Linked DNA regions of Macaca mulatta. The protein of the gene in region 5 interacts with the protein of the main gene of each other region in a pairwise test. Links are inferred from orthologs where the notes say so. Each region holds a gene or a part of one and is shown on either strand. Other genes may lie near its edges.

Region 1 (4,211 bases), on a different chromosome or scaffold from region 5:
AGTATTTACCACCATATAGTATATATATTTTTTCTCTGTCCATTCACTGTCTGTCTCCCTAACTAGAATATGAGCTCTATGAGGATCAGAACTTTGTTTCTGTTCACATCTATATGGTAGATGCTCAACAAATAAGGATTATTAAAGGGTTACCGTAACAGCTTTCTGACTCCTGAAGGCATTATGAGAATAGCTTATATTGGGGACAGAAAATATTAATAGCAGCTATCATTTATTGAGTAGCACTGTGCTAAAAACTTCATATACTTGCTCTCATTTAATCTTGACTCTTCTACACAGCAGGTATTATTATCCCATTTTATTTTATTTTTGTTTGTTTCCTGTTTTTTTTTTTTTTTTTTTTTTTTTTTTTTTTTTTTTGAGACGGAGTCTCGCTCTGTCGCCGAGGCTGGAGTGCAGTGGCCGGATCTCAGCTCACTGCAAACTCCGCCTCCCGGGTCCATGCCATTCTCCTGCCTCAGCCTCCCGAGTAGCTGGGACTACAGGCGCCCGCCACTTCGCCCGGCTAGTTTTTTGTATTTTTTAGTAGAGACGGGGTTTCACTGGGTTAGCCAGGATGGTCTCGATCTCCTGACCTCATGATCCACCCGTCTCGGCCTCCCAAAGTGCTGGGATTACAGGCGTGAGCCACCACGCCCGGCCTGTTTCCTGTTATTTTGAGACAGGGTCTCACTCCGTTGCCCAGGCTAGAATGCAGTGGCGTGATCTTGGCTCACTATAGCATTGACCTCCAGGTTCAAGCAATCCTTCCACCTCAGCCTCCCCAGTAGCTGGGACCACAGGTGCACACCACCACACCCTGCTAATTTTTTTATTTTTATTTTTTTGTGGTGATGGGGTCTTGCTATGTGGCCCAGGCTGGTCTCAAACTCCTGGCCTCAAGGGTTCCCTCTGCCTCAGCCTCCCAAAGTGCTGGGATTACAGGCGTGAACCACCATGCCTGGTGTCATTATTTCATTTTAGAGATAATTTAAGATTCAAGGAAGTGAAGTAACTAGCTCAGCAATAAACAACCTATAAGTAAAACAGTTGCGACCTGAACCTTAGTTCTGCCCTAGCTCTAAAGTTGGACAGTTGACAGGTCATGGGTCAGAATCCATAGAAGAACATCGTGTGGCTCTTGAATTCCTCCCTCACAAATCAAGGTCCCCTGTATTCCAAATGGACCATTTCCTGATCCAGGCAGTACACTGGAGCCTCCCTAAGCTACATCAGAAGCCCTCTTGGAGGTCAGAGGACCGTAACTCCAACCTCACAAGAGCAGGCTGGATGCTGCCTTATTGGTCAAGGTAGGGTACCCCACCCTGCAGTTCCCTCTCGGGTGCCAGTGGGAGGGGAGCTTCACTCACACTGGGGTTCTTGTTCTCATCATACTCATCCATGTGGTAGGTCCTGTAGCCCTCCTCAGCGGAATCCCAGAACCATTTAATCATTCTTCCTCTAGAGGACAGGTAGGAGGTATCAGGGGAGAGCATGGCAGAATCACCCACTCCAGGGAGCTCTGGCAGCTTCTGGTCCAGTTTTCTGGAGCATTCTCCTTCCAGATCATCCCCATGGCTACTGCCCAGGTCCTGCAGGCAGGTGGGGCCCAGACAGGTGGTGGGAGCACTGAAGTCCTTTTGAGGAAGTGTGAACATCTGCAAAAAGACAAAATTCACAGGCCTGCTCAAGGGATTTCCACAGCACCAAGCATCAGAAAGGAGTTGGAGTCATGGGAGTTCCCTTTCTCTTATTCCCTTCCTTTAGGTTTATGCAAAAACCTCCCTTCCTTTAGGTTTATGCACTCATCACTTCCTGTGTCCCTTAGTTGTAACCATATGTGCAATGACTTCAACAAGAAAAACCTGTTAAGGACCTAGTATGTGCCAGGGACTGCACTTGCCATATTTATATGACTTTAATGTATTGCTGCTTTAGCGTGTTCTACTTCTGCATAAGTTTTTCACTCTGCAGCCTAAAGGGTCATCAACATTCTTCTTCCATCCTTGCTCACCTCAATTACCAAATGCCAGGTTAAAATTTCTTGAGTTAAAGCAGAGCATCGCCTGGGAGTCCTGGGGGTCTTGTGGTGTAAAGGGTAGGATGAGATCATGTGGTACTCTGAGGCGGATAGTGGGTGGGAACCGAGGGGAGGGAGGAATGGGGGTCTCCATAAGTGCAGACACCCCAGGCAGAGCTCCAGTGACTGCCTCTTCAGTCCTGAAGAAAAGAGGTGTGGACACCAATGAGGGTGGTCTACTCCTGCCCGCGGGTGTGAACTCCTTCACTTCTCTAAGCCAGTTTAGTTTCCTCATCTGCACAGTGGATATAACAGTAATCACCTCGGTTTGGCCGTGAAGATACAGATATATGGGTTAGTGACAATAAAGTACTTAGAACAAATCCTGGCTGATGATAAAAGTTCAATAAAATATGAGTCATTAGAGCGTAAGTAACTCCTTGCCAATTTTCCAGTCCTGATGCACAACACAAGCTCTGATACACCGGGTGCACCAGAAACTCAGGGGGTACCCACAGTTAAATTTTCCTCTGCAAAGTCTTCTCAGGGGGACTCTTTAAAATTGGCTGGGCTCTCCCGAGAGCGCTCACCTCCGGCTCTCCCGACAGCCGAGGTCCGAGGAAGTACAGCACTGTGGGCGGAAGCCGGGGTGGGAGCAAAGCCTGGGATCTGGGAGCGGCGCGGTTCAAGCCTCCAGGCGTCCAGTGGGACGGCGGCGAATCCACAGCCAGACACACCCGCGCCCGATTAAGCAGGCCTTGGAATCCCGCAAGTGGGGCGGCTACCGCGCACGAAGAACCGAAACGGCCTTCTACAGGGCGGAGGATGTCTCGCGAGAGACGACTCCAGATTTCCAGGCGAAGGAAGTGCGATCGGTGCCAAGGGATTCGAGATGGAAGGGCAGAGGCTTTTGCAAAGTGCACACAGGGAGGCCTGAACGGCTTCCTCCTCTGCAAAGTAGGGGATCCCACCTACTTGGCGGAGCTGGAGGAGCTGGCACTCTGCAGGCGCGTATCACAGGTTGGTTTCCTCCACCGGTAAACGCCCTCCGTCCGGCTCGTTACGCGCGGGTGAGGACAGCGCCGCCCTGCGCTCGGACTAGGAAACTTGAGGGCCGTCTGCCCCGGGCCGGGCTTCCTGGCCTGCTCAGGGCGCAGTTTGTTCCCTCGCCGCTCAGGCCGGGTGCAGTCTCGGCGGAGCCTACGCTTTAAGGGTCACACACGAGGTCTGACCGCGGGACCGGGAAAAGGGAAAGGGGCCCCTTTCAGCGAGGAAGGGGCGGAGCGCTGGTTCCCACCTCCACTCTGGGTGGCTTGCGCGTGCGGGGCCGCCGCCGGGCCGGGTGGGGTCAGTCACCTCCCTCTGCCACCTGGCCTTGGTTCTCCAGTTTTCAAAGGAGGTTAGAGCCACAGAAATTTCTTGGCCAAAGTATGCTTGGCTGCGGCCCCCACAAAGCGCTTTTTAGATTCGGGTGTGAGCATCCTTGTGGCCTTTCATCGCAGCTTGTCATTTCTGCCCCTTTTATTTGTAGGGGATTTTCTTTAGCCCTCATAGGTTCTTAGTTGGGGGAGACTCCTGTTACAAAAGACAAATTAACAAGAGAAAAACAAACACAGATTTACTGACATGTATATTTCATAATAGAAGGGAATGAGTCGCTCTGGAAGAGGTGACTTTGAATTCCATTTTTTATAGCATCTTCAACAAAGAACAGTAATTTTTTTAAGTTACAAGACAAAGAAATAGGACTTCGAGTCTCTCCAGGAGGCAACTTGTGAGACGGCAAAAAACAAAAACAAAACAAAAAAAAAAAAACAAAGGCCAGTTAGTCAAGCTTGTTAATGTAAATTCCTCTGATACCATCTCCAGGCTGTAGGGGTCTAAAGTAGTCTTCGTTCTCCCAGGTAGACGGAGGGACAGGATACCTTTTGTCTTTGTAAACCTGTGTCCTACTTTTAGGCAAAGGGCCAGGGTAGAGAGCTTTCCTGAATCTGCTGCTGCTTGTCTTTAGCACAATCCTTCATGTTTTGGGGAGGCATGTCCTGGTCTCCCACATGTGGCTGCAACATTTGTTGAACTCTGGCTAGGCGTGCTGGCCCACGCCTGTAATCCCAACACTTTGAGAGGACAAGGTGGGACCATCCCTTGAACCAAGGAGTTTGAAACCAGCCTAGGCAACATAGGGAGACTG
Region 2 (2,382 bases), on a different chromosome or scaffold from region 5:
GGCTAGAATGGGATGTTTGTTTTGAATCTTCTGGTACAAACTTGGGAACGTGGCTGTTATTTCAGTTTATGAGCCATAACTTTTCACATCCCGAAACTACAAAAGAGAAAAAGAGCCTTATTAAGTATCATGCTTTCCCAAGACTGCCTTCAAAGAAATATGAATCAGGACAACCTGTGGTCTAAATAATGTCGTCTTAAAACAAGAGTTTCTTTTGACTCTTCTGCTAAAATAGCTTAGAAAAAAGTCTACTTGCAGACATTTGAGAGAGAGAAAGGACAATAAAGTGATTTTCTGAATGGGAATGACAGAGCTCTGGGAAGCCAGCTACCACTGAATCTCACTTAAAGTTTAGAGTTAGAAGGGGTGGTCCCCTCCTTTCACCAATGTGGAAGCTAGGGACCAGCAAGGCGGGGTGCCCACGGCTGCACAGCTAGTTCATATCAGAATTGGGAATGGAAGGCACACTGCCTCCCAGCATAGCAATACATAACCTAGCAAAGGACTTAACACCTATCTCACTGTCAGGTTTTTTAGTATTTTATGATGATGATGATGACTTCTACTAGAAAATAATCTTCATTAAAATTATTAAAGATGGTCACACCTCTATCTCTAAACCTTGTTTATATAAAATGAGCGTATTTGGACTATATGATGGCTAAAGTCTTCTTCCAGCTCTAGAATTCTGCAACTCATTAAAAAGTCACCCACAAAAGTCTACTGAGTTACCCAAGGGTTGCTCCTACCTGCCCAGAGTTCCACCAGCCTGGGTATAGTATTTGTTATAATCTAGTCGTAACAGTAGTTGAGCCAAATCTGAGTTGATCTGATGATTCCGAACACTGGAGAGAATCTTGAATAGGAGTGAAGACTGGCGGCTAAAGCCCTGCAGAGAGAAGGACTCAGCTGTCATTCCACTTCAGCTCACCAACTCTCCATATGGAGGATGGGGGCGGAGGGAGGAGTTTCTTGGAAAAGCCTTGCTCAAAATTCTACAGAACCACCTGGCCTTCCCACATTCCTATTTCTATTAGTTCTTAAAATGACTTGTACCAAATCCATACATGCATGACTTCCTATGAAAGTACTCTTTCACCAGTAGGAATTTAGTAGCTGGTTTCCAGTTAATGTATTTTGTCAAGTACTGGGGTTGGGGAGAACCCGTTTTGATTACAAGCAGATAATTATCTCAGTGAGATAGGGGTTAGTTCAAGGAAGTAAAGAGGGGTAGGATGTGAGGAAGTTAGAACAAAGCCAATGCTTATTTGATGGGCTGAATAAACTATTCAGGACTGAACTATTTTTGAGCACTCTGAGGTAGCACAGTAATTACCTGATTCAAAATCAACTGATACCAACATTTTTATCTTTATATCTTATTTCTGTACGTGTGTGTATTGAGGAAATGCTTTACTGACTCAGAGGAAAGATCATGAATTCTCCATTGACAAAACCACCTCTGTCCTTTCGGCAAGGCTGCATACTTCCAGGCAGACGCACCTTCACGAGAATGCTCAGCTGGGCGGCTCCACGCTCATCCAGTGGGCCTAGGTTCTGACTGACCAGCGAACAAAAACTGTGACAGAGATCTAGGATTTCATTCAGGCAGTGAAACACCTACCCAGGAAACAGAGTTGGCATTAGGAAAAGAAGGAAGGTACGTCCATGAAATTAAAGATTTGGGAGAACAGTCTGATTAATAGCTGACCTCCCAAATCTGAGAGGATAGACACTGTCACTTGCAAGGCCTGCCAGCCCCTCAGACATACAATATGTGTAAAACAAATGCATCCTTTCCTGCGTACACGAGTATTACTCTCTCAGCCCCGCACCAAACCTCCATTCTAGCCACATTTAACTCTTCATTTCTTAGACCCGCAGAGTGTGTTCCTGCCTCTGAGCTGTGAGTGTTGTTCTCTTTGCCTGGGATGCTCTTCTTTTTAATACCAGTTCAAGTCCCACTCTCTCAGTGAAGCACTCCCTTCCCCACTGTAGCCTTTAGTGAACCCCGTTTCTTGCTTCTTTATTATCTGTACTGTTGTCCACTTGGCAATTGTTCAGGCCTCTGTGTTGTTAATGATTTCTGTATGTATATATATGTCTTGTTTTTCCAACTAGATTGTGAGCTCCTTAAGGGCAGAGCCATGAATTATACCTCTTTGTATCCCCAGTGCCTTGCATACAGTAAGCACTCAATAAATATTTAATGATGATGACCTGCTCTGATACTCGGCTTTTCCCTATGGATACATCTATGCCACATAAGGACAGCATCGACCCATCACAGTAGTTCTTGGTTGTTTTCAACCAGCCCTCTGAAATGGCATTTATTAATATATATCTTCCTCTTCCTGGGCAGCAGAAATAGCCCTAAACACC
Region 3 (2,750 bases), on a different chromosome or scaffold from region 5:
GTCCCCAGTATGCAAACAGCGGCAATTTTTTCGTAGGTTATTTTCATTGTCATGATGTCAAACTTCACTTTAACTCTATGGGATCTTATTATTTAAGATGAAGTCTCACTCTGTCACCCAGGTTGGGCTGCAATGGCTCACAGCAGCCTCTGCCTCCTGATTCAAGCGATTCTTCTGCCTCAGCCTCTCAAGTAGCTGGGATTGCAGGCACGTACCACCATGCCGGTTGATTTTTGTATTTTTAGTAGAGACAGGGTTTCAGTATGTTGGCCAGGCTGGACTCGAACTCCTAACCTCAAGTGATCTGCCCACTTCGGCCTCCCAAAGTGCTGGGATTACAGGCGTGAGCCACTGCACCTGGCCCAAAAACTAATATATTCTCATAAAAACTTCAACAATCAGATAGGCATAAAGTGAAAATATTAAACCAAGGATTTTCTACACAAATGTACAAAGCACGCCTTATTTATAGAAACCAGATCACTCACTCATTCTGCTCAGAAACTCATTGATTTTACTCAGAAGCACCCACGAGTGACGGGTTCCCAGGAGGGGCAGAGGAGGCTGAGCGGCACCACATGGGGCTGGCCGCGGGCTGTGGACATGGGCATGCCTGGAGAGGCCATGGGGCTGGTGACAAGCTCTGGCCAGAAGACCCCAAGAAGGTCTGATCCTGAGGTCTGATCCAGGCCTGCGGCACTGGGTCCTAGGCAGGAGACTGTCTGCCTGGTGAGAAGTGGAAGGAGCCAGTGTCCGCAGCCGTCTCAGGATGTCACAGAGCTCGGTGGCCCGTCTCCAGCAGCATGCTCTCCAGATGCAGCCTGCTGTCGCTCTCCACGTAGGGCTGGTGCAGCCACATGGACAAGTAGCTCAGGGTGAGGTCAGGATCCCTGGTGTGTGCAAGCTCCTTAGCCACTGTGCGCTTCAGGAGCAGCTCCTTCCTGTACATCTCCAAGAGCTTGTGTGAAACCTCATCTGAAAGAAACGTGAGTGTCCCTTAATGGCAGTGATTCAAGAATGTAGTCTTGACTCAGGAAGAACTACATTTTTAACAGCTCTTAATTAAAAACCAGAATTAGCAACAGCACTGAAAGGAAGAAGGGCCCGATGGAGTTTACCACTCTAGCTGGTACAGATTAGTACAATTTGATAACATCGTCAGCAGAGTGAAATAAAAGCGTATATAGGCCAGGCGCGGTGGCCCACGACTGTAATCCCAGCACTGTGGGAGGCCCAAGTGGGTAGGTCACATGAGGTCAGGAGTTTGAGACCAGCCTGGCCAACATGGCAAAACCCTGTCTCTACTAAAAAATACAAAAACTAGGGCGGGCGCGGTGGCTCACACCTGTAATCCCAGCACTTTGGGAGGCCGAGGTGGGTGGATCACGAGGTGAGGAGATCGAGACCATCCTGGCTAACACGGTGAAACCCCGTCTCTACTAAAAACATGAAAAATTAGCCGGACATGGTGGCGGGCGCCTGTAGTCCCAGCTGCTCAGAAGGCTGAGGCAGGAGAATGGCGTGAATCTGGGAGGCGGAGCTTGTGGTGAGCTGAGATTGCGCCACCGCACTCCAGCCAAGACTGCACCACTACACTCCAGCATGCGTGACAGAGCGAGACTCTGTCTCAAAAAAAGTATATATAACCTTTTCTACCTGACCCTTAGGTGACCTACAGTGATTATAAGTAGGAGATTCCCCTCAAACTGACAATATATCACTAAACACATTCCACCAGGTGATTTTCCCCTTTCCTGCCTTATTTAAAAAGTCTCAGATCAACATAAAACAGCTTAGCCCTTGTCTTGAACTAATAAAGCTAAAATAGCCCTTTAAGAAGTACCTCCTAGAGTTTATTAAAGTCATGGCTTTCATTTTTCCCAGTCATCTTCCATGAGGTTGGCTGCAGTGACCTCAATTTGTTTTTTAATTAAAACAAAAAGGAAAAGAAAAACCTCAACAAACCAAAAAAACCCCTTTCTCCCCTTCCCCCCCAAAACGAGAGATTTCTGCTTCCACAGAGGAGGTGGAATTCACTCTGTCCCACTGGTTTTAGAGGCCTAATAACAGCAGCTTGCTTCACGGGTCTCTGATTATGTTTAATATACTCTGCTGATAACCAGGTAATTAAAGCCAAGAAGAAATGTTTATTTTAAGGCGCCTCTGTCTCTTTTCCTCCCGATAGATACTTTCGCATTGAATTTCAAAGCCTTGTCAGCTTCTTAAAGTACCAGATGTAAACGATACTAAATGCCCTTAATAACCTTTACCCTCCTGAAAGTTAACTGAGAAGGAACTACTTACAGAAATGGGTTGTAGGCCAAGTGTGGAACAGAGGGGGTCGTTTAGTCTCCTCCCCATAATGGTAATTTTCTAGTTCACAAATTCCCTTGGTAGTTGAAGACAGCTTTTCCATTTTCACCTGTATTTTGGTCTGAAACATATTCATTTAGAATATGATAATATTTCAAATATCCAGTCTCAGATTCAATACCTATAAGATTTCAAAGCTAAGAAGTGTACATCTATTGTGATAAAAATTCCAATAACTAAACACTGTTAACTCTAAGTACAGCAAATTCCCAGGGAGACGAAGGTGGACAGTTGCTATGATTCCATTAATTTGAATTACTTTGGTAATAAACCCCAGATTTCCAGTCCTAGAGCAAGAAAGGTTTCTGAGTGCCATTTCACTAGGATTTCCAAAGAGCACTGATGTTTTAGGCCCAAAGTCCTGGGGGAATCCCAAG
Region 4 (3,520 bases), on a different chromosome or scaffold from region 5:
TCAACTGCAGGGAAACTGAGGCCCCAAGAGGCACCCACTGAGGCCTATTCAGACAAAAACTGTGACCTTTGGCTGGGCACGGTGGCTCATGCCTGTAATCCCAGCACTTTGGGAGGCCAAAGTGGGTGGATTACCTGAGGTCAGGAGTTCGAGACCAGCCTGGCCAACATGGCGAAACCCCGTCTCCACAGAAAATACAAAAAATAGCCTGGTGTGGTGGTGCACAACTGTAATCTCAGCTACTCAGGAGGCTGAGGCAGGAGAATCACTTGAACCCGGTGGGGGCAGAGGCTGCAGTGAGCCGAGATAGCGCCACAGCACTTCAGCCTGGGTGAGAGCAAGACTCTGTCTCAAAAAAAAAAAAACAAAAAACAAACTAGGACCTTCACCATGTTCTTTTTTTTTTTTTTTTTTTGGTGAGACGGGGTCTCGCTCTGTCACCCAGGCTGGAGTGCAGTGGCCGGATCTCAGCTCACTGCAAGCTCCGCCTCCCGGGTTTATGCCATTCTCCTGCCTCAGCCTCCCAAGTAGCTGGGACTACAGGTGCCCGCCACCTCGCCCAGCTAGTTTTTTGTATTTTTTTTTTTTTTTTTTTTTTTTTTTTTGAGACGGAGTCTCGCTCTGTCACCCAGGCTGGGGTGCAGTGGCCAGATCTCAGCTCACTGCAAGCTCCGCCTCCCGGGTTCCCGCCATTCTCCTGCCTCAGCCTCCTGAGTAGCTGGGACTACAGGCGCCCGCCACCTCGCCCGGCTAGTTTTTTGTACTTTTTAGTAGAGACGGGGTTTCACCGTGTTAGCCAGGATGGTCTCGAACTCCTGACCTCGTGATCCGCCCGTCTCGGCCTCCCAAAGTGCTGGGATTACAGGCTTGAGCCACCGCGCCCGGCCGTTTTTTGTATTTTTTAGTAGAGACGGGGTTTCACCGGGTTCGCCAGGATCACCATGTTCTTGTGAGGTGGAAATATCTTCCTCCCATAAAAACCACAGCTGTGGCCAGGCGCGGTGGCTCAAGCCTGTAATCCCAGCACTTTGGGAGGCCGAGATGGGCGGATCACAAGGTCGGGAGATCGAGACCATCCTGGCTAACACGGTGAAACCCCGTCTCTACTAAAAAATACAAAAAAACAAAACAAAACAAAACAAAACAAAAAAAAAGTAGCCGGGCGAGGTGGCGGGCTACTGTAGTCCCAGCTACTCGGGAGGCTGAGGCAGGAGAATGGCGTGAACCCGGGAGGCGGAACTTGCAGTGAGCTGAGATCCGGCCACTGCACTCCAGCCCGGGTGACAGAGCGAGACTCCGTCTCAAAAAAAAAAAAAAAAACCACAGCTGTAGAAATGGCATTTCCTAGAGGGCAAGTAGCTTACATAGGTCATAGAGCAGTTCTGTCAAAGCTTCTGGAGTTTCTCCAGCTTGAGAACCTCAAGGTTTTCATGCCAAGCTACAAACCCAAGACTGTGTTCTTTGCTCCCATCTCTTCCCATACGAAGGGCATTTTGGAGAGCCAGATTTGTAGTCTATTGAGACAATGAACCCCAGAAGACAAACTCCTATTAATCCCTCAAAACCCCAGTTCCAATTCTCCTTCACAATGCCTGCACCCAGCCCAGGAGAATTCTCCTTTGCTCCTTGATCCCCCAACCTCAGTAAAGGATTTTGTCCCATCAAGAAAAACTGACAGTGACCACAGCCCATTTGTACCCTTGTGGCCACCAGGTCCTGCTGAATTTGTGTCTTCTCCAGTCGGGGAAGAGCTGGGCCAGACTGGGTCCCCAGAATGGCCTGTACCATGGCTTCTGCACGGGGCACAGTGGGCATGGATGCCAAGGTGGGGCCAGGCTCTGAGAGAATCTTCACTAGAGAACGGCGCTCCTGGAGACGCTGGACATAGCTTCGGAGCTGGAAAGCCACTTCCTGTGGTGTGGGCTTATCCACACTGCTGCCCTCAGGGCTACAGAAAACAGAAGATGTGCCTATGTTAACACCGGCAGGCATAGGTGGGTTAACTTCATGCCAATCCTGGTAGGGTCCATCATCTTCCATCTCACTGGCCACGACGGAGTCTTTGCCATCTGTGGTGGCCCCTGTCACACCAACGTACCCCACTAGGCACCATCTTCCATCAAGACCACATTTTGGTCAGGTGTGGTGATGCACGCCTGTAACCCCAGCACTTTGGGAGGCTGAGGCGGGAGGATTGCTTGAAGCCAGAAGTTTGAGAGCAGCATAGGCAACAGAGTGAGAATCCGTCTTTATAAAATAATTAGCTGGGGCTGGGCACGGTGCCTCACGCCTGTAATCCCAGCACTTTGGGAGGCAGAGGCAAGTGGATCACCTGAGGTCGGGAGTTCGAGACCAGCCTGACCAATATGGAGAAACCCCATCTCTACTGAAAATTCAAAATTAGCCAGGCATGATAGTGGGAGCCTGTAATCCCACCTACTCGGGAGGCTGAGGCAGGAGAATCGCTTGAACCTGGGAGGCGGAGGTTGCAGTGAGCCGAGATCAGACTATTGGACTCCAGCCTGGGTGACAAGAGTGAAAATTCGTCTCAAAACAAAACAAAAACCAGGGTCTTGGCCGGGCGCGGTGGCTCAAGCCTGTAATCCCAGCACTTTGGGAGGCCGAGACGGGCAGATCACGAGGTCAGGAGATCGAGACCATCCTGGCTAACACGGTGAAACCCTGTCTCTACTAAAAAATACAAAAAAATAGCCGGGCGAGGTGGCGGGCGCCTGTAGTCCCAGCTACTCGGGAGGCTGAGGCAGGAGAATGGCGCAAACCCGGGAGGCAGAGCTTGCAGTGAGCTGAGATCCAGCCACTGCACTCCAGCCTGGGCGACAGAGCCAGACTCCGTCTCAAAAAAAAAAAAAAAAAAAAAAAAAAAAAACCAGGGTCTCACTCTGTCACCCAGGCTGGAGTGCAGTGGTGCAATCTCAGCTCACTGCAGCCTCCACCTCCCAGACTCAAGGCTTCCTCCCACCTCAGCCTCCCAAGTAGCTGGGACTACATGGGCACACCCGGCTAATTTATTTGTAGTTTTGGTAGAAAAGGACTTTTGCCATGTTACAAGGGCTGGTCTTGAACTACTGAGCTCAAGCGATCTGCCTGCCTTGGCCTCCTAAAGTGCTGGGATTACAGGCGTGAGCCACTGTGCCCGGCTGTGGGTGCCAGTTTTAACCAGTAGGCATCATTATCCATCTTCACGCCAACTGCAATATCTGTCAACCACCATGCTAACTTTGTCAAGTAGCAACAGGCCAACTGCAGTTGAGCCTCATGTCAACCAACTACAGTGTGCTCCATACCGACCTTGCTGGACACAGCCACACCAAGCCCCCAAACATGGTGAGTTCTGGGAGCCCCATTCCCCAGTCAAGACCCCACTCCTCAACCAGGCCAGTTCCCAGGGTTCCGGGGAGGTACCTTGGCTGTGGATTCTGCCGTGCCCCTGCATCCATGGTGGCCTCCTCTTGTGCCAGCAGCCTCCATGCTTCCTCTTCAGCTGCTTGCAGGTCACTCG
Region 5 (3,520 bases):
GAGGGGCGCAGGCTACCCCGGGCCCTCCACTGTCCGGAGGCTCTGGGCCCTACCTTGGCCAGGCTGATGAGGGTGCCCTCCCGCTGGGTGTCCACCTGCAGCGCCCGCTCGGCCTCGCGCTCGGCCCGCTCCTTACTCAGCTTTTGCTGCGCGGAGAACTCCGCCCACTCGGCCGCCAGGCGCCGCCGCTCCTCCCCGCACTTGAGCATGACAGACTTCTGCTCCTCCAGCAAGGTGCTCTGGGATGTGGGGGGTGAGGGCACAGGGTGAGTGTCCCTGGGCATAATGGCAGGGGCAGGGGCTGAGTGCAGTGGCTTGACTCACCTTGGCCCGCTCCAGCTCCGCCCTTTCCATGGCCATCTGCTGGGCCGTGACCTTCCTTTGCTCCTCTAGGGCGCGCTGCATGGACTCCGCCTTGGACTGCTCGGCAGTCACCCGCCAGCGTTCCTGTAGGGCCCAGGGCAGGACTGAGAGCGTGGTTCCCACCCTGAGGATCACGCCTGGCCACTCCCTGAGGAGCTGCACGAATCCACCAGTGTCTCCCACGCTATGCCACTGACCTGTCCTTCCCAAAGAGGCACAAAATGAGGGGTGCCTGAGAGGCACTGCCAGGGCCCAGCCCGCATGATTCTGCCCAAGAGGAGGACCCAGCAGGTGCCCTCCCAACCCTCAGGTCTCCAATAGCACCAAGGCTAGCAGCTTGGGAGGGCCAAGGAGCAGCAACATCCCTGCCGCTGAATGGCCAGCAACACACTCTGCCTGTCCTCACCCATCAGCCAAGCAGGCTGAGCACAGGGTGGCCTAACGCTGTGCTGTGGGCCCAGCCACACACAGCACGAGGCAAGAGCTTCACTGTGCCTGACCCCAGGCAGGTGCTTAACACAGTTACCAAATGAAGAGGCGAATCAAAATGGTTCACAACATAAAAGCATCTCTATCTATGTTGATATGGCTACAGGATAGATATCAGCTCAGCAGTGGACATCTCTGACTAGTGAGATATTTTTATTTTCTTCTTTAAAAACTTTTTTTTTTTGGCCAGGCACAGTGGCTAGGGCCTATAATCCCAGCACTTTGGGAAGCCAAGACAGGTGGATCACCTGAGGTCAGGAGTTCAAGACCACCCTGGCCAACATGGTGAAACCCATCTCTACTAAAAATACAAAAATTAGCTGGGTGTGGTGGCAGTTGCCTGTAATCCCAGCAGCTCAGGAGGCTGAGGCAGGAGAATCCCTTCAACCCAGGAGGCGAAGGTTGCAGTGAGCTGAGATCGCACCACTGCACTCCAGCCTGGGTGACAGAGCGAGACTCCATCTCAAAAAAAAAAAAAAAAAAAAAAAGTTTTTGACTGGGCAAGGTGGTTCACGCCTGTAATCCCTGCACTTTGGGAGGCCAAAGGGGGCAGACTATTTGAGTTCAGGAGTTTGAGATCACCCTGGGCAACATGGCAAACCCGTTTCTACAAAAAATACAAAAAATTAGCTGGGTATAGTGGCATGCACCTGTGGTCTCAGCTACTTGGGGGCTGAGGTGGGAAGACTGCTTGAGCCCGGGAGGTTCAAGCTGCTGTGAGCCGAGATCTTGCCACTGTACTCCAGTCTGAGTGACAGTGAGACCCCATCTCCAAAAAAAATTTTTTTTGGCCAGGCGTGGTGTCCCACCTATACTCTCAAAATGTTGGAAGGTCTAAGTGGGTGGATTGCTTGAGCCCAGGAGTTCAAGGCCAGCCTGGGCAACATGGCGAGACCCACATCTCAACAAAAAATACACTATTAGCTGGGTGTGGTGGTGTGTGCCTGTAGTCCCAGCTACTCAGGAAGCTGAGGCAGGAGGATGGCTTGAGCCAAAGAGGTCAGGCTGCAGTGAGCTATGATCACACCACTGCACTCCAGCCTGGGCGACAGAGCAAGACCCTGTCTCTAAAAAAAAAACAATAAAGCGCTTTATGACAGCTGGGGATAAAAAGACAGGTGGGAGGACAAGGAAGGCTTCGAGGAGGTGGTAGCATCAAAAGATTCATTACCGTTGAATTCAGCCTAGAAAGATTTCCACAGGTAAGGAAAAGGATGTGAGCAAAGGCAGGGATTGCAGGTGTGCACCACCACACCCAGTTCATTAAAACAAAATTTAAATGTTTTATTATTTATTTATTTTTTTGAGACAGAGTCTCGTTGTTAACCAGACTGGTGTGCAGTGGTACGATCTCCACTCACTGCAACCTCCGCATCCTGGGTTCAAGCAATTCTCCTGCCTCAGCCTCCCTAATAGCTGGGATTACAGGCATGCACCACCATGCCCGGCTAGTTTTTTAATTTTTAGTAGAGATAGGGTTTCACCATGTTGGTCAGGCTGGTCTCAAACTCCTGACCTCAAGTGATCCACCAGCCTTGGCCTCCCGAAGTGCTGGAATTACAGGCATGAGTCAACTTGCCTGGCATAAAAAAATTTTTTTAGAGGTGGGGTCTTGCTATGGTCTCGCTAGGCTGATCTCAAATTCTTGGGCTTAAGTGATCCTCCTGCATCAGCCTCCCAAGTAGCTGGGATTACAGGCACTGGCCACTGTGCCTGGCTAAGGTAATCATTATTTATTTATTTATTTATTTAATTTATTTTTTTTTTTTGAGACGGAGTCTCGCTGTGTCTCCCAGGCTGGAGTGCAGTGGCGTGATCTCGGCTCACTGCAAGCTCCACCTCCCGGGTTCACGCCATTCTCCCGCCTCAGCCTCCCAAGTAGCTGAGACTACAGGCGCCCGCCACCACGCCCGGCTAGTTTTTTTTTGTATTTTTAGTAGAGACGGGGTTTCACCATGTTAGCCAGGATAGTCTCGATCTCCTGACCTCGTGATCCACCCGCCTCGGCCTCCCAAAGTGCTGGGATTACAGGCTTGAGCCACCGCGCCCGGCCTATTTTTTTTTTTTTTTTTGAGATGGAGTCTCGCTGTCTCCCAGGCTGGAGTGCAGTGGTGCGATCTCGGCTCACTGCAAGCTCCACCTCCCAGGTTCACGTCATTCTCCTGCCTCAGCCTCCCGAGTAGCTGGGACTACAGGCACCCGCCAGCACGCCCGACTAATTTTTTGTATTTTTAGTAGAGACGGTGTTTCACTGTGTTAGCCAGGATGGTCTCGATCTCCTGACATTGTGATCCACCCGCCTTGGCCTCCCAAAGTGCTGGGATTACAGGCGTGAGCCACCGAGCCCAGCCAGGTCATTATTATTTAAATAAAGCATGTGCTTATATATGAAAGGTATCTAGGGAGTTCAAATGTCTCTGTGAGAGCTGAAGAGGCTAGGATGACATTTAATAGGCAAGAGCATCTGTCCCAATGTCAGGGCTCAGCTGATGTGACAGATTCGAGTGTCAGGAAGTGGGAAGTGCAGCTGATGGTTGCAGGGGCTAGACTGTGGAGGCAGCCAAGGCGGCCGAGGGGCTTGTGGTGCTGAGGAGCAGGCAGGGCGTGGTGGGGGCCTGGCCAGGTGGCCCCTGCGTGCTCAGGTGGGCAGTGCTGAGGGCCTGGCCGG

What was found.
Region 1: the proteins of FBF1 (region 5) and ACCS interact in a two-hybrid assay, tested with the Homo sapiens proteins (2 studies listed by BioGRID and IntAct). The two-hybrid records come from large-scale screens. The link is inferred for Macaca mulatta from reciprocal best matches to the Homo sapiens genes FBF1 and ACCS.
Region 2: the proteins of FBF1 (region 5) and TUBGCP4 interact in a two-hybrid assay, tested with the Homo sapiens proteins (2 studies listed by BioGRID and IntAct). The two-hybrid records come from large-scale screens. The link is inferred for Macaca mulatta from reciprocal best matches to the Homo sapiens genes FBF1 and TUBGCP4.
Region 3: the proteins of FBF1 (region 5) and CINP interact in binary tests that used the Homo sapiens proteins (3 or more experiments, as listed by UniProt). The two-hybrid records come from large-scale screens. The link is inferred for Macaca mulatta from reciprocal best matches to the Homo sapiens genes FBF1 and CINP.
Region 4: the proteins of FBF1 (region 5) and USHBP1 interact in binary tests that used the Homo sapiens proteins (3 or more experiments, as listed by UniProt). The two-hybrid records come from large-scale screens. The link is inferred for Macaca mulatta from reciprocal best matches to the Homo sapiens genes FBF1 and USHBP1.

The regions. Positions count from the first base shown.
Region 1 is NC_133419.1:21,530,239-21,534,449, forward strand, and holds the start of ACCS (1-aminocyclopropane-1-carboxylate synthase-like protein 1), read right to left. Parts: upstream 2,808-4,211; 5' UTR 2,611-2,807; exon of another isoform or gene 2,114-2,610; coding exon of another isoform or gene 2,015-2,113; intron 1,659-2,014; coding exon 1,371-1,658; intron 1-1,370. UniProt on the Homo sapiens protein: Does not catalyze the synthesis of 1-aminocyclopropane-1-carboxylate but is capable of catalyzing the deamination of L-vinylglycine.
Region 2 is NC_133412.1:20,787,583-20,789,964, reverse strand, and holds part of TUBGCP4 (gamma-tubulin complex component 4), read right to left. Parts: intron 1,621-2,382; coding exon 1,504-1,620; intron 890-1,503; coding exon 750-889; intron 97-749; coding exon 84-96; 3' UTR 1-83. UniProt on the Homo sapiens protein: Component of the gamma-tubulin ring complex (gTuRC) which mediates microtubule nucleation.
Region 3 is NC_133412.1:175,709,909-175,712,658, forward strand, and holds the end of CINP (cyclin-dependent kinase 2-interacting protein), read right to left. Parts: intron 2,435-2,750; coding exon 2,305-2,434; intron 976-2,304; coding exon 773-975; 3' UTR 501-772; downstream 1-500. UniProt on the Homo sapiens protein: Component of the DNA replication complex, which interacts with two kinases, CDK2 and CDC7, thereby providing a functional and physical link between CDK2 and CDC7 during firing of the origins of replication.
Region 4 is NC_133424.1:17,741,390-17,744,909, forward strand, and holds part of USHBP1 (harmonin-binding protein USHBP1), read right to left. Parts: coding exon 3,424-3,520; intron 1,949-3,423; coding exon 1,699-1,948; intron 1-1,698.
Region 5 is NC_133421.1:85,624,654-85,628,173, forward strand, and holds part of FBF1 (fas-binding factor 1), read right to left. Parts: intron 448-3,520; coding exon 325-447; intron 240-324; coding exon 54-239; intron 1-53. UniProt on the Homo sapiens protein: Keratin-binding protein required for epithelial cell polarization. Involved in apical junction complex (AJC) assembly via its interaction with PARD3. Required for ciliogenesis.